Linked DNA regions of Caenorhabditis elegans. The protein of the gene in region 1 purifies or fractionates together with the protein of each later gene. This does not show direct contact. Each region holds a gene or a part of one and is shown on either strand. Other genes may lie near its edges.

Evidence for each region. The genes of interacting proteins can lie anywhere in the genome.
Region 2: the proteins of mag-1 (region 1) and rnp-4 purify together in Caenorhabditis elegans (affinity purification with western blotting; 2 studies listed by BioGRID, with this or other methods). This does not show direct contact.

Annotation. Positions count from the first base shown.
Region 1 is NC_003279.8:11,910,182-11,915,899, reverse strand, and holds mag-1 (Protein mago nashi homolog), read left to right. Parts: upstream 1-3,222; 5' UTR 3,223-3,223; coding exon 3,224-3,283; intron 3,284-3,354; coding exon 3,355-3,753; 3' UTR 3,754-3,871; downstream 3,872-5,718. Other genes in the region: hda-3 (Histone deacetylase), read left to right, coding at 1-58, 1,041-1,241, 2,102-2,242, 2,354-2,775; NEDD8-conjugating enzyme ubc-12, read right to left, coding at 3,985-4,433, 4,480-4,573; rbm-3.2 (RRM domain-containing protein), read left to right, coding at 4,944-4,965, 5,159-5,237, 5,323-5,479.
Region 2 is NC_003281.10:4,403,634-4,409,573, reverse strand, and holds rnp-4 (RNA-binding protein rnp-4), read right to left. Parts: upstream 3,289-5,940; 5' UTR 3,257-3,288; coding exon 3,182-3,256; intron 3,132-3,181; coding exon 2,886-3,131; intron 2,579-2,885; coding exon 2,471-2,578; 3' UTR 2,251-2,470; downstream 1-2,250. Other genes in the region: gpch-1 (G patch domain-containing protein 1 homolog), read right to left, coding at 440-907, 952-1,009; putative peroxiredoxin prdx-3, read right to left, coding at 1,226-1,315, 1,494-1,925, 1,972-2,130; snfc-5 (SWI/SNF Subunit INI1 DNA binding domain-containing protein), read right to left, coding at 3,498-3,633, 3,682-3,864, 3,909-4,496, 4,547-4,785; R07E5.17 (uncharacterized protein), read left to right, coding at 5,163-5,248, 5,295-5,444, 5,491-5,752, 5,800-5,940.

The sequences.
Region 1 (5,718 bases):
ATGACTGTTTCATTTCATAAACATGGAGAATATTTCCCTGGAACTGGAGATTTAAAGGGTACGGGAAGAGAGATCTCTTCGATTTTTTAAATTTAAATTTTAAATTTCCGACAAATCTGCAAATTGCCTGAAAAAAATTTGCCGGAAATCGGCAAATTAATATTAGCTGAAAATTCGATTTTTTTTTTGGAAAAAATGTCGTTTTTTCGATGCTTTTGAGGGAAAATCGAAAAATAAATTTTTCAAAAATTTTTAAAATTAAAAAAAAATTCAGAAAATTAACTATAAAATAAGATTTTTTGGCGAATTTAATTTCAGCTAATTTTAATTTTCCGGCAAATTGGCAAACTGGCAAATTTTTGCCGGAAATCGGCAAATTGTCTGAATAGAAAATTTCCGGCGAGTTGCCGGAATTTAAGTTTTTGGCAAATTGCAGGAATTGAAATTTTCCGGGAAATTGCCGATTTGCCAAATTTGCCGGAAAATCGACAATTTTCCGGCAAACTGCCGGAATTTAAATTTTTGGCAATTTGCCGGAAATTAAATTTTCTGGAAAAACGGCAAATTGCCGGAATTTAGCATTTCCGGCAAATCGGCATATTGCCGGAGTTTTTAATTTCCGGCAAATCGTCAAGTTGCCGGAATTGACAATTTCTGGCAAATTGTCGGAATTGAAATTTGCTGGAAAATCGACCATTTGTCGGTAATGAAAATTTCCGACAAATTTGGAAAATTGCCGGAATTGAAATTATCCGGCAAAATGTCGATTAGCCGAGTTTCCCGGAAAAACGGCAAATTGCCGGAATTTGAAATTTCCGGCAAATGTGCGAATGGCAGGAATTGGAATTTGCCGGAAACACGGCAAATTTTCGGAATTTAAATTTCCGGCAAATCGTCAAATTGCCGATAATGAAAATTTCCGGCAGATCGGCAAATTGCCGGAATTTACCATTTCCGGCATATCTGCAAATCGGCAAACCGGCAAATTGCCGAAAATAGCTACATTTATTTCAAAAAATTTATGAAAAAGTTTTTTTCAGACGTTGGCGCTGGAAGTGGCAAGTACTATGCTCTGAATGTTCCACTTCGTGATGGAGTCGATGACGTCACTTATGAACGGATTTTCAGAACAATTATGGGAGAAGTTATGGCAAGATTTCAACCAGAAGCAGTTGTGCTCCAATGTGGTGCCGATTCACTGGCAGGAGATCGGCTAGGAGTATTCAATTTGACTACTTATGGTTTGTGTGTGTCGATTTACGAAGAAGCTCTCGTGTACTCCTCGTGGAGAAGATTTTCTCAGTTTTCGGCAAAAATTCTCGATTTTGGATCATTTTCGCTAGTTTAAACTAAAATTTTCACAAAAAATCAAGAAAATTCGTTAAAATGGTGATTTTCGCGGCGAGACCCATCCGAACTCGTCTGTGCGCCTTTAAGTAGGAATTGTGGAGAAATTCGGAATAATAATAGCAAAATCACGAATTTTAAGTAAAAATTGAGAGGAAACCTACCTAAAAATGGGATTTTTATCGGAAAAAGTGCTAAAAAATGCTTTTCTCACTGAATATATCGGAATTTCTTAGTTTTTGGCGAAATTTTGTGATTTTGGGCCATTTTCACTAGATTTAACACTCAAAAAATCAAGAAAAGTCGTTAAAATAATGCTTTTCGCGGCGAGACCCATCCGAACCCGGCTGTGCGCCTTTAAATAGGAATGGTGAAGTAATTCGGAATAACAATAGCAAAATCACGAATTTTAAATAAAAATTGAGAGGAAACCTACCGAAAAATGGGATTTTTTCGATGAAAATTACTGAAAAATCGGATTTTTTCACGAAAAACATCAGAAAAAACGGAAAAAATTCAGTTTTTCTCGGAAAATATGCTAAAAATTGCCTTTTTCACAAAAAAAAAAACAGATAATGAGTTTTCTATGACAAAAACAATTTTTTAAAACGTATTTTTAACGAAAAACATCTGAAAAATCACGGAAAAAAACTCCAATTTTTCCCGGAAAATGACCAAAAATTAGATTTTTTCATAGAAAATAACCAAAAAATTGGCCTTTTTCTCAGAAATAAGCAAAAATTTTTTTTTTCAGGACACGGAAAATGCGTGGAATACATGAAAAGCTTCAACGTGCCGCTTCTGTTAGTTGGCGGTGGTGGATATACGATTCGAAATGTCTCCAGATGTTGGCTGTACGAGACGGCGATCGCTTTGAATCAAGAAGTTTCAGATGGTATGGAAATTTCGATTTTTCCCCCGGAAATTTGCGAAAAAACGGCTTATTTTCGGCAAAAAATCTTGAAAATTCGAATTTCCCGCTAAAAAATGCCAATTTTTCTTCCAGATCTGCCCCTCCACGACTACTTTGACTACTTCATCCCGGACTACAAACTACACATAAAGCCGCTCGCCGCTCTTTCGAACTTCAACACTCCTGAATTCATTGATCAAACGATTGTCGCGCTTTTGGAGAATTTAAAGCAACTTCCACACGTTCCATCGGTCCAAATGCAATCGATTTCGACGAGTTGTGACTCAATTGTGAAGACTTTTGACGAGAAACTGATCCGAGATCATCAGAATGATGACGTCAGAGTTACTCAGTTCGAGGAAGACGTTCAGGTGGAAGATTCGGCGGAATTCTACGATGGTCAAGAGCCGGAGACGAAGAATATTCAATCGATGAAACGGCACGCGAGTCCGATTTGTGCGGCGCAAGAGGAGATGAAGAAAAATCGGATTGATGGCGGCGAAAATGTGGCATAATTTGGTTTTAACTTGATTTTCTGTATGCACTAACTTTGTATTTATATCGTCTCTTCAAACTATTTCTTTAATTTATACGAATCTCAACTTCTCTAAACCTCTATTGATCCTCAAATCTATTTAAATCTTTCGTTAAATCGACAATTAAAAAATTTCCGTCGTCAAGTGTGGTGCCGGTGGTGCATACACCGCCGCGCACAAATGCACAGATTTCGGCGTTTTCGAATTTTTATCGGATTTCTTTTCTCTATATTTTAAAGGATATTTTCTATCGTTTCTTGTCTAAAAACACAGTTTTTATCGAATTTATCACAATATAAACCTATTTATCATCTTTCTTTTGTGAATTTTCACTGAAAAATCAGGTTTTTTTACCTTGAAATTCTAATTTTCACCCGGTTTTATTTAATGGATGTTTGGATTTTCTCAATTCCTATTTATTTTCAGAATGAGCGGCGAAGAAGAGAAGGCAGCGGACTTTTACGTTCGTTACTACGTTGGACACAAGGTAGGTCTTGGAAAATCTTGGAAAAATGACAATTTTCGCCAATTTAAATTAGTTTACGAAACAATTTTCAGGGAAAATTCGGTCACGAATTTCTCGAATTCGAATTCCGTCCAAACGGATCGCTTCGCTACGCGAACAACTCCAACTACAAGAATGACACGATGATCCGCAAAGAGGCGACAGTGTCGGAATCGGTGCTCAGCGAGCTCAAGCGTATCATCGAAGACTCGGAAATCATGCAGGAGGACGATGACAATTGGCCAGAACCAGACAAGATTGGACGCCAGGAGCTGGAAATTCTGTACAAAAACGAGCACATCTCGTTTACGACCGGCAAAATCGGAGCTCTAGCCGATGTGAACAACTCGAAAGATCCGGATGGTCTCCGCTCGTTCTACTATCTCGTTCAGGATCTCAAGTGCCTCGTCTTCTCGCTCATTGGCCTTCACTTCAAGATCAAGCCAATCTAATTTAATTCCTTCAGACTCTGTTCTATTTTATCCACCAAATCTCTTTAACTTGTTTAATTTATTCGATTTTCTCTTCTCTTCTTAAGTTCTCAAATTTCTCAAGAATAAATTTTATTTCTTTCAAAAAGTACAGTTAGAAAAAGTCTGAGAGGTGGGGGAAAAGTTAGAATCAAAATCAATTTCATAGGGGGGGTCAATTCACAGGCCATTTGTAATCCGATCCGTTGGTCCTTAGCAATATCTAGAAATGTATTCCCGAACACGATGATTGAACGATTCGCGATTCTGACTCCACATCTGGGCGGCTTGAATGTTCAGCGCGTCGTTGAAGTCCATAAGATCGTTGAACAGTGAGACGAGTCCGTGGACGACGTCGGTGAGGTTACGCGTTGGACGCCATCCGTATTGATCCAACGAGTTTTGACGCAAAATCGATAGACAAATCGATCCGTCCTCGTTGATATTTGGATGCCAAACCTTTGTCAGGCACTTAACAACGGGCGGCACGTTGTTGTACTCTGGCGGGACGGTGATCTTGAATCGGAATTTGCCTCCACGATAGATTCCTTCTTGAGGTGTCACGGTGAGTTCCAACTCATGAAGACACGATGTTGATGGGACCTCGAGATGCCACAGCTTTTGCTTCTGATCGCGAAGAGCAGTCTCCAGCTGTTGGAGTTCTGAAAATGTTGTAAAATCAAAATTTTTTATAAAGCAGCCACATACCCTGAGCTAGGAGCTTGTCACGGACGGCGATGCGGGTTTCAAGATACCGACCGTCCTCGTTGTTGCCGTTGATTCGTTTTTGAAGATTGAACATTCTGAAAGCGAAAAATTAAGAAATACGATAATTTTCAGCGATATAGGCGGCGCATACGGAAACATAGAGAAAATAATCGTTTTTTTGGCAAAATTACAGTGTAAAAGGGTCAAAAATCGATGAAAATCTTGTAATTCAGCGAAAAAACGACAAATTACGTGAGAAAATGAAACAATTGCTATGAAAAATGACAGAGAATGAGGAATAAAAGACGCAGCGTTTGCTAACGCTGAAATGACTAAAGGGGGCGGAGCGCGAACGCAAGGCTGGCACACTTTTACCGCAAGTGCCGCACGGTTTCCCACGAGTCGGAGGAGGCAAGCGAAAACGATTCGAATCACACATATTTACGCTCCGGCCTAAAATCGTCATGTCTGGATTCTCTGTTTACGGTTAGTTTTGTTAATTGTAAATTATTCAAGTAGAAAACTGGAATATTCAGCTTTAAAAGCAGATTTTAATCGAGAAAAGCCGAATTTAAAGTCTGGCCTAAAATTTTTATTTTTCTCCAGGCGTTTTTCTATTTATTGTATTTGATTAGGCTGAGATAATTTGAGTTTTTAATAATTTTAATGCATTTTTCAGTCGGAAACGCTCCATTCCAAACTACCGAGGACGACCTTGGCAACTACTTCAGCCAGGCTGGAAACGTCAGCAACGTCAGGTAAGCTTCTCTCCCCGAAATCTCCTCTTCCCGAAACCTCCTGAACGACGACCCGTTAACTCTCAATATGAATCTCTATTTTCAGAATCGTTTGCGACCGCGAGACCGGACGTCCACGTGGATTCGCCTTCGTCGAGTTCACCGAGGAGGCCGCTGCCCAGAGAGCCGTCGACCAATTCAACGGAGTCGATTTCAACGGAAGAGCTCTACGCGTCAACTTGGCTCAAAACAGAAACAACTAATTTTCATATCGGTACTTTGTTACTTGTTTGATCTTTAATGATCTCAATAATAATAAACCCATGAAATCGTTATCATAAATATATATGCTCTATTTTTTTATTTCGAATCTTCATTTGGGGTCAATCTGATGGCAAGCGTTGAGGCTAGAAGCTTGAAGGAACGGCTTCGGTTCGAGCAAGTTTTGAATCCTGGGCTATGCGCAGCCCAATGTGAGCTTACAACTGAAAATTCAAGTTTC
Region 2 (5,940 bases), on another chromosome or scaffold:
TGCCAAAGCGTCTGGGAATCGATATTTATCTAATTTTTTTTTGGGAATTTAGGTACATTTGGACCAGATTTGATCTCTAAATGTTCTTAAATCCACGAAAAAACGCTAGACGAACAACTTTGAAACACAGAAAAAACAACCCAAAAAAATTCCGGCACGGAAAAGTTGACGAAATTTGTTAAATACCGCCATAAAACATTTTTGAAAAGTTTCGGTGAGGACTCCGCTGTAAAAAATTCAAAATCGCCTCAAATCCATCCTGAAAAACCACAAAGAAAACACGAAAAAATTGCCAAAGAACGAAAAATCGCACTCCTACAAACGAGATTTTTCTTCTTTTTTTGCGATGTTTCCCTTTTTCCATTATGGATTTTAAGAATTTCAGACTAATTTAAACTTTTTTTGATAACTCCTCCTTCAATTAGATATGCTCTCGAACCTCTCTTCTGTTTCTGTTTAACATTTGCCAATCCGATGCCTCGTCCTTCTCTCCATCCCATTGATCGGAGCATCCGTACTCCTATCGAATTACTAACAGGCTTCACAACATCCTCAAACATCTGAGTTATCGTTGAAATACTTGTCGTATCCCGTTCCCAAGCCATTTTCCTTTTCTGTCCAGCTCCTTCACCAAATGCCGCAGTCTGTTTTATCGATCGATTCCCTATTCCATATTCTCCAAGATCTTCTGCATCCATAAAATCTTCAGCTCTTTGTTTTATTTGTTCTCCACGTTCATTCCGAGATGATGAGAACACTTGAGGAACCCATCCTTGCTTTGATCCAACTGTATTCCAATAACCAGCTGAAAATCCTCCAGTGAAGGCTCCATGGAATCTCCGTTTTCCTTTTTCATCTGTTGCTATCTCTTCGTGGATTTGAGTTGGCTTTTTTGATACAGAGCTTCCTGAAATTATTTATTTTTTTCCTGAAAACTGTAAAATTGCAGACCTTCTTCGTCATCATCTTCGAATTCCTGACCATATGCTGCTAATTTTTTCCTGTTCATTTATTTAGAAAAATCTGAAATGAAATTCACATTTTTTTCCAAAACTTTTTAGGAAACAAAAATCAATATTTTAATGGATTTTTCTGAAACCGTATATTTTCCAAAATTAATTTCAAAAAACTCGAGCTGAATGACACCTATTTATTTAAACCGACAAACTAAATCATCAATATGATAAATACAAAGAATAAAAATAATTGTTCTGTTTCTGTGTGATCACTTGTTGACCTTGTTGAAGTATTCCTTGCTGGTAGCGACTCCTGGCTTGATGGTTGGAGAATCCTCATGCCAATCAGCTGGGCAAACCTGAAAAATTAATTTTTTATTCGTCGAAATTTGTTTTAATGGACTAAAACTAGCCCGAAACGACCGATTTCCTTTTCAACAAAAATTTAAATATTTTTATGGCGGGCCAAAGTTTCGGAAAAAAAACATTGCATTTTTTTTGCTAGAAATTAAATTTTTTGTAAATTTCAAAATTCACCTCTCCGTGCTTATCAGAGAATTGGAATGCCTTGAGCACTCTCAAAGTCTCATCAACAGATCTTCCAACTGGAAGATCGTTACAAGTAGTGTGACGGACAGTTCCAGATGGATCAATGAGGAAAAGTCCACGGTATGAGAGTCCGGATTCCTTGTCGAGCACACCGAACGAGTCGGCGATCTTCTTGTTGAAATCAGCGAGCAAAGGGATGTCCATATCACCGAGTCCTCCGTCCTTGCGTGGAGTGTTAACCCAGGCCAAGTGAGAGAAGTGAGAATCACACGAGCACGCGACAACTTCAGCTCCAAGAGAACGGAACTCGTTTGCACGATCTCCGTATGCGATGATTTCAGTTGGGCATACAAAGGTGAAGTCAAGTGGATAGAAGAACATGACGAGCCATTTTCCTTTGTAGTCTTGATCAGAAATCACCTGGAATTAATTTTTGAAAAAAATATATATATTTGTTATTTTTAACCTTGAAGTCTCCATCAACGACAGCAGTTCCTTTGAAAGCTGGGACAGTATTTTTTGGTCCAAGTGGACGAAGTGACAAAAGAGCACGAGATGTGCTCAACTGGCGGGTGGCAACAGTAGGAACCGTGCGGCAAAGAGCTCGAACAGCAGAAGAAAACATCTGCAAAACTCAGATATTCAGAAATCTTTTTTTCCAGAATTTGATCTACGAAACAATTGAAGATATCAAATCGTTCCAAACTGGTTAACGATAAAAAGAAAATAGCAACAGCAGATAATTGAAAAATGGTCATTTTATTCACTGTTATTGCATGTGTCACATAGATAACAAAAATCGCAAAATTGAGAAGAGCGAGCGAGTTGAGACCAAATAGATATTTAAAATTTCGAATGGTAAATTGGGAAAGAGGACAAAAAATAAATAGAAAAGGAAAAACTTAACAGTGACGTGTAAAAAAACATAAAACGTGGATTGGAGAGGACAATTAAGTACGTGGTTTTCAGCGCTTTCCAGAAGTCTTCTTTCCCTTGACGAAGCACCAATCGACTTTGACATTCTGGCCGAGAAGATCTGTATCGTTGCTCTGATCAATAGCTTCGTTGGCTTCCTGGAAAATAAATAATTTATATTGATACCAGCCGTGGACCGCACCTCCGGCGCGGCCCCCCACTTCTGGGGCTGAAAACTAATTTTTCTGAAACTACCGTAACCCTACAGTATTCCTACCGTACCACTATTGTACCACTACAGTACCCCGACTATATCCCTACACTAACCCCAACTCACTATCCCCACAGAAGCCAAAACTTCACAGACTACAAAGACTACATAGACTACAAACTATGGACACACAGAATAAGCGCTTTATATATAGTAAATGATTTCGATAGAAACGACGACTGCTAAAATATTACCTTCTGCGTTTCGTACTCCACCAGTGCGTATCCCTTCAAAAAACCGGTTCGTCTGTCGAGATTCAAATGAATGTTCTTAATTTTTCCGTACTCGGAAAACTTGTCATGAACATCATCTTCTGTTGCCTCTTCGTGAATGTTTGTCACGAAGACAATCCATCCTTCAACGGATCTTTGTGGTGCTCCGCTTGTGGCAGACGACTCTTCATCGACCACGTCGTAGGTGATCCTCTCGCGATTGCGACTCTAGAAAAATATATTATTGATTATTGATTACAAAATTCGACAAAATTTACCTGCGCAAGTCCTCGACCTCTTGATCTCTCGGCGTTGGCCACCACATCCTCCATCTCTACTTCGTTGTCGCTCATTTTTCTCTTCAAGCGATTGAGACGATCGGGCTCTGAAATTTTATTTATTTATATTTTCAGTTAGATCATTCAGTTTGAAAACCGCCACAAGTTCCTATTGGAAAGAGCAGTTTACACGAGAAAATGTAGAGAAAAGATCGAGGAAAGAATAAATTAAAAGAAAGTGCACATTAAAAATATTGAGATAAAATGGTTAAAATTCGTTAAATACAGGTTGATTTCGTAGAGATCAGTAGATACTTCAATAGTTGAATCCACCGCCAACAAGACGACGCATTCTTCTCGTGTTTCTGTCTTGATCACGCATCTTCTTTTCGATTTCAGCGTCGGTTAAAGTTTCGAGGAATGGACCCCAAGATTCGACTTCAGATGATGTTCTGAATAGCATTGGTTTGCAAAAATTCATTATTTCATATCAAATTTACCTGAACGGGCAATCAACAGTGGCCAGTGGGCTTTCTGAAAACGCATATGTTCTTTGATTCCATTGTAACTGTCCGCGAATTGAATATGCAATTCCTGACATAAATTCACCACCGAGGCCAAGCTCTTTGCAGATGTTTCGTGAAAACTCTTCCGGGCTGTTATTAGGATCCGACATATCCCACCTGAAGTTAAAATGAATTGTCAGTCTTTAGCATTTCCAACATACTCGAATTGATCAACCAAACTCTGGTTTCCAACATTAATATTCAACTTGAGAACGGCTCTCTGATCACAAATGTTCACATCCAATGGTGGCGCTTCTGTAGAAGCTTCGAGCTGCTGATTAATTGCTGCAGTAATAGCAGGCTGGAAAACTGCCAATGGTAGATCAAGATCTTCACACATAATTTCGGCAATCATCTCGGGAGTGATCATTTTCTCGTTTTTATTGAAAGTGAACGTATCGCGAAGTTTGATTCCATCCAACTCCATATCCAATCGAATTGGCACAAGATCTTCTCCTTCCTCAGCATTTTTCATCACTCGTTTCGACATTTCTAAATCTTCTGCTGAATATACTAATTCACGATGCTTCATTCTTCCTCTAGAATGAGCTATCGGACAAGAACATGGAACGGATTCGAGATGATGTGAACCGCTGGTGACTTGTTGTCCTGCCCATCCAGTTGCAGGAGTTTTAGCGACAGTTCTAGAAGCTCCTTCAGTTCTTGGAGTTGAAGGCGCTGCTCCAGCCGCTCGGTACTTTTCTTCGGAACCATCGAGAAGCTCATCTACTTCATGCGCTCTCAGCAGCCTGTAAAATACTTGCCGAATGAAATTTGACACTTTGGTTTTTATACTCACATGATATTAGTATGCAAAAAAGCATTTGACATTGCAATTTGCTTCAGCTTGTCTTTGTCATCCGAAGTTGCAACTTTTCTCCATAATAATGGATACTTCTTGTAGAGAGTTCCACGATGGAGACGAAGATAGGCACCTATTTCAGAACCGATGTAGTATCTTTCTCCGGCTTCATCTAGACTGAAGCTCTGAGGACGTGGTCCGTAAGTTTGAGACAACGTTTTCGTGCTGCTCGACATTACCTGAAACATAATACGAATATGTCAAGAACTGGGAGTAAAATGCGACGAAACGGATAATTTCAAATAGCAGTGGTTGTAAACGCTATTCTAATAGAAAAACAATAAATTATGATAGTAATTCAAATGATTTAAGCTGAAACAAATTATATATTTCAAGAAAAAAACATGAAAAACATGAAAACAGAAGCGAATACCGTTCAAAATTCGAGTAATAAATTCTGTTCTACGCGAAGCGTGCCGCGTGCGTATCTCAAGGGGGCGCAATTGCACACTACCAAATTTCGGCAACTAAAATTGGAATTACCATGGAAACGAAGGAATTGAAGAGAAAGGGGTCATGGAAAAATGTGTTCCTAGCAATATATACGTTTTAGATGAAATTTATTATTATCTGCAACTGGTTACTTTTTCTTCTATGTTATAAATGGCTTGGTAATTGGGAAATTCCAATTAACCTGGGGTATGTACATATTTCGGATTCTAAAAAAACGGTTTATTTCTTCTAGATTTGATCCGTTTCGCGTAGTTGGAGGTTTTCCTACTCTTGTTGATTCTTTCTTTCAAGATTTTTTTGAAAAACCAACAGATAGCTCGAAAACTTCAACATTTCCTCTTGATGATCTACAGTACCCAGTTGTAACACCTCAGTTGGCCCGGTATCACAATAATTGTTTTTTGACAGAAAAATTAATAGAATTTCAGTAAAATGAAATGGAATTGTTCAATAATTCAATCTTCGGATAAATGTTTCACTGTTATCAAATCATCGGAGTGTCTAGCTTCTACTCAATTTTCTTATAACTTTTGGGAAAATTCTGAAGAAATGTCTGAATGTTTTCATAAATCCAAGGGAAATATGGAATGTAGAATACCTTTTCAAAATGGAAATATCTGTGAAAATGTGGTTGTTGGAATTCAAAAAAGTGGGAATAGTTCGATTTTCATAGAATTAGATGATATAATGGTAAGTTTTGATATTATTTCGGCATTCTAAAGATGTAGTATTTTCAGATTAATACTCAAATATTTCAAAACTATGCAGAAACTAAACACAGACTTCCAAATAACAAAATATCGGAAAATTCGACCAGAGAAGATTTTTATTTTGAGAATTCAGATTTTTGCCAAAACTACAGTATACATGAGTTGGTT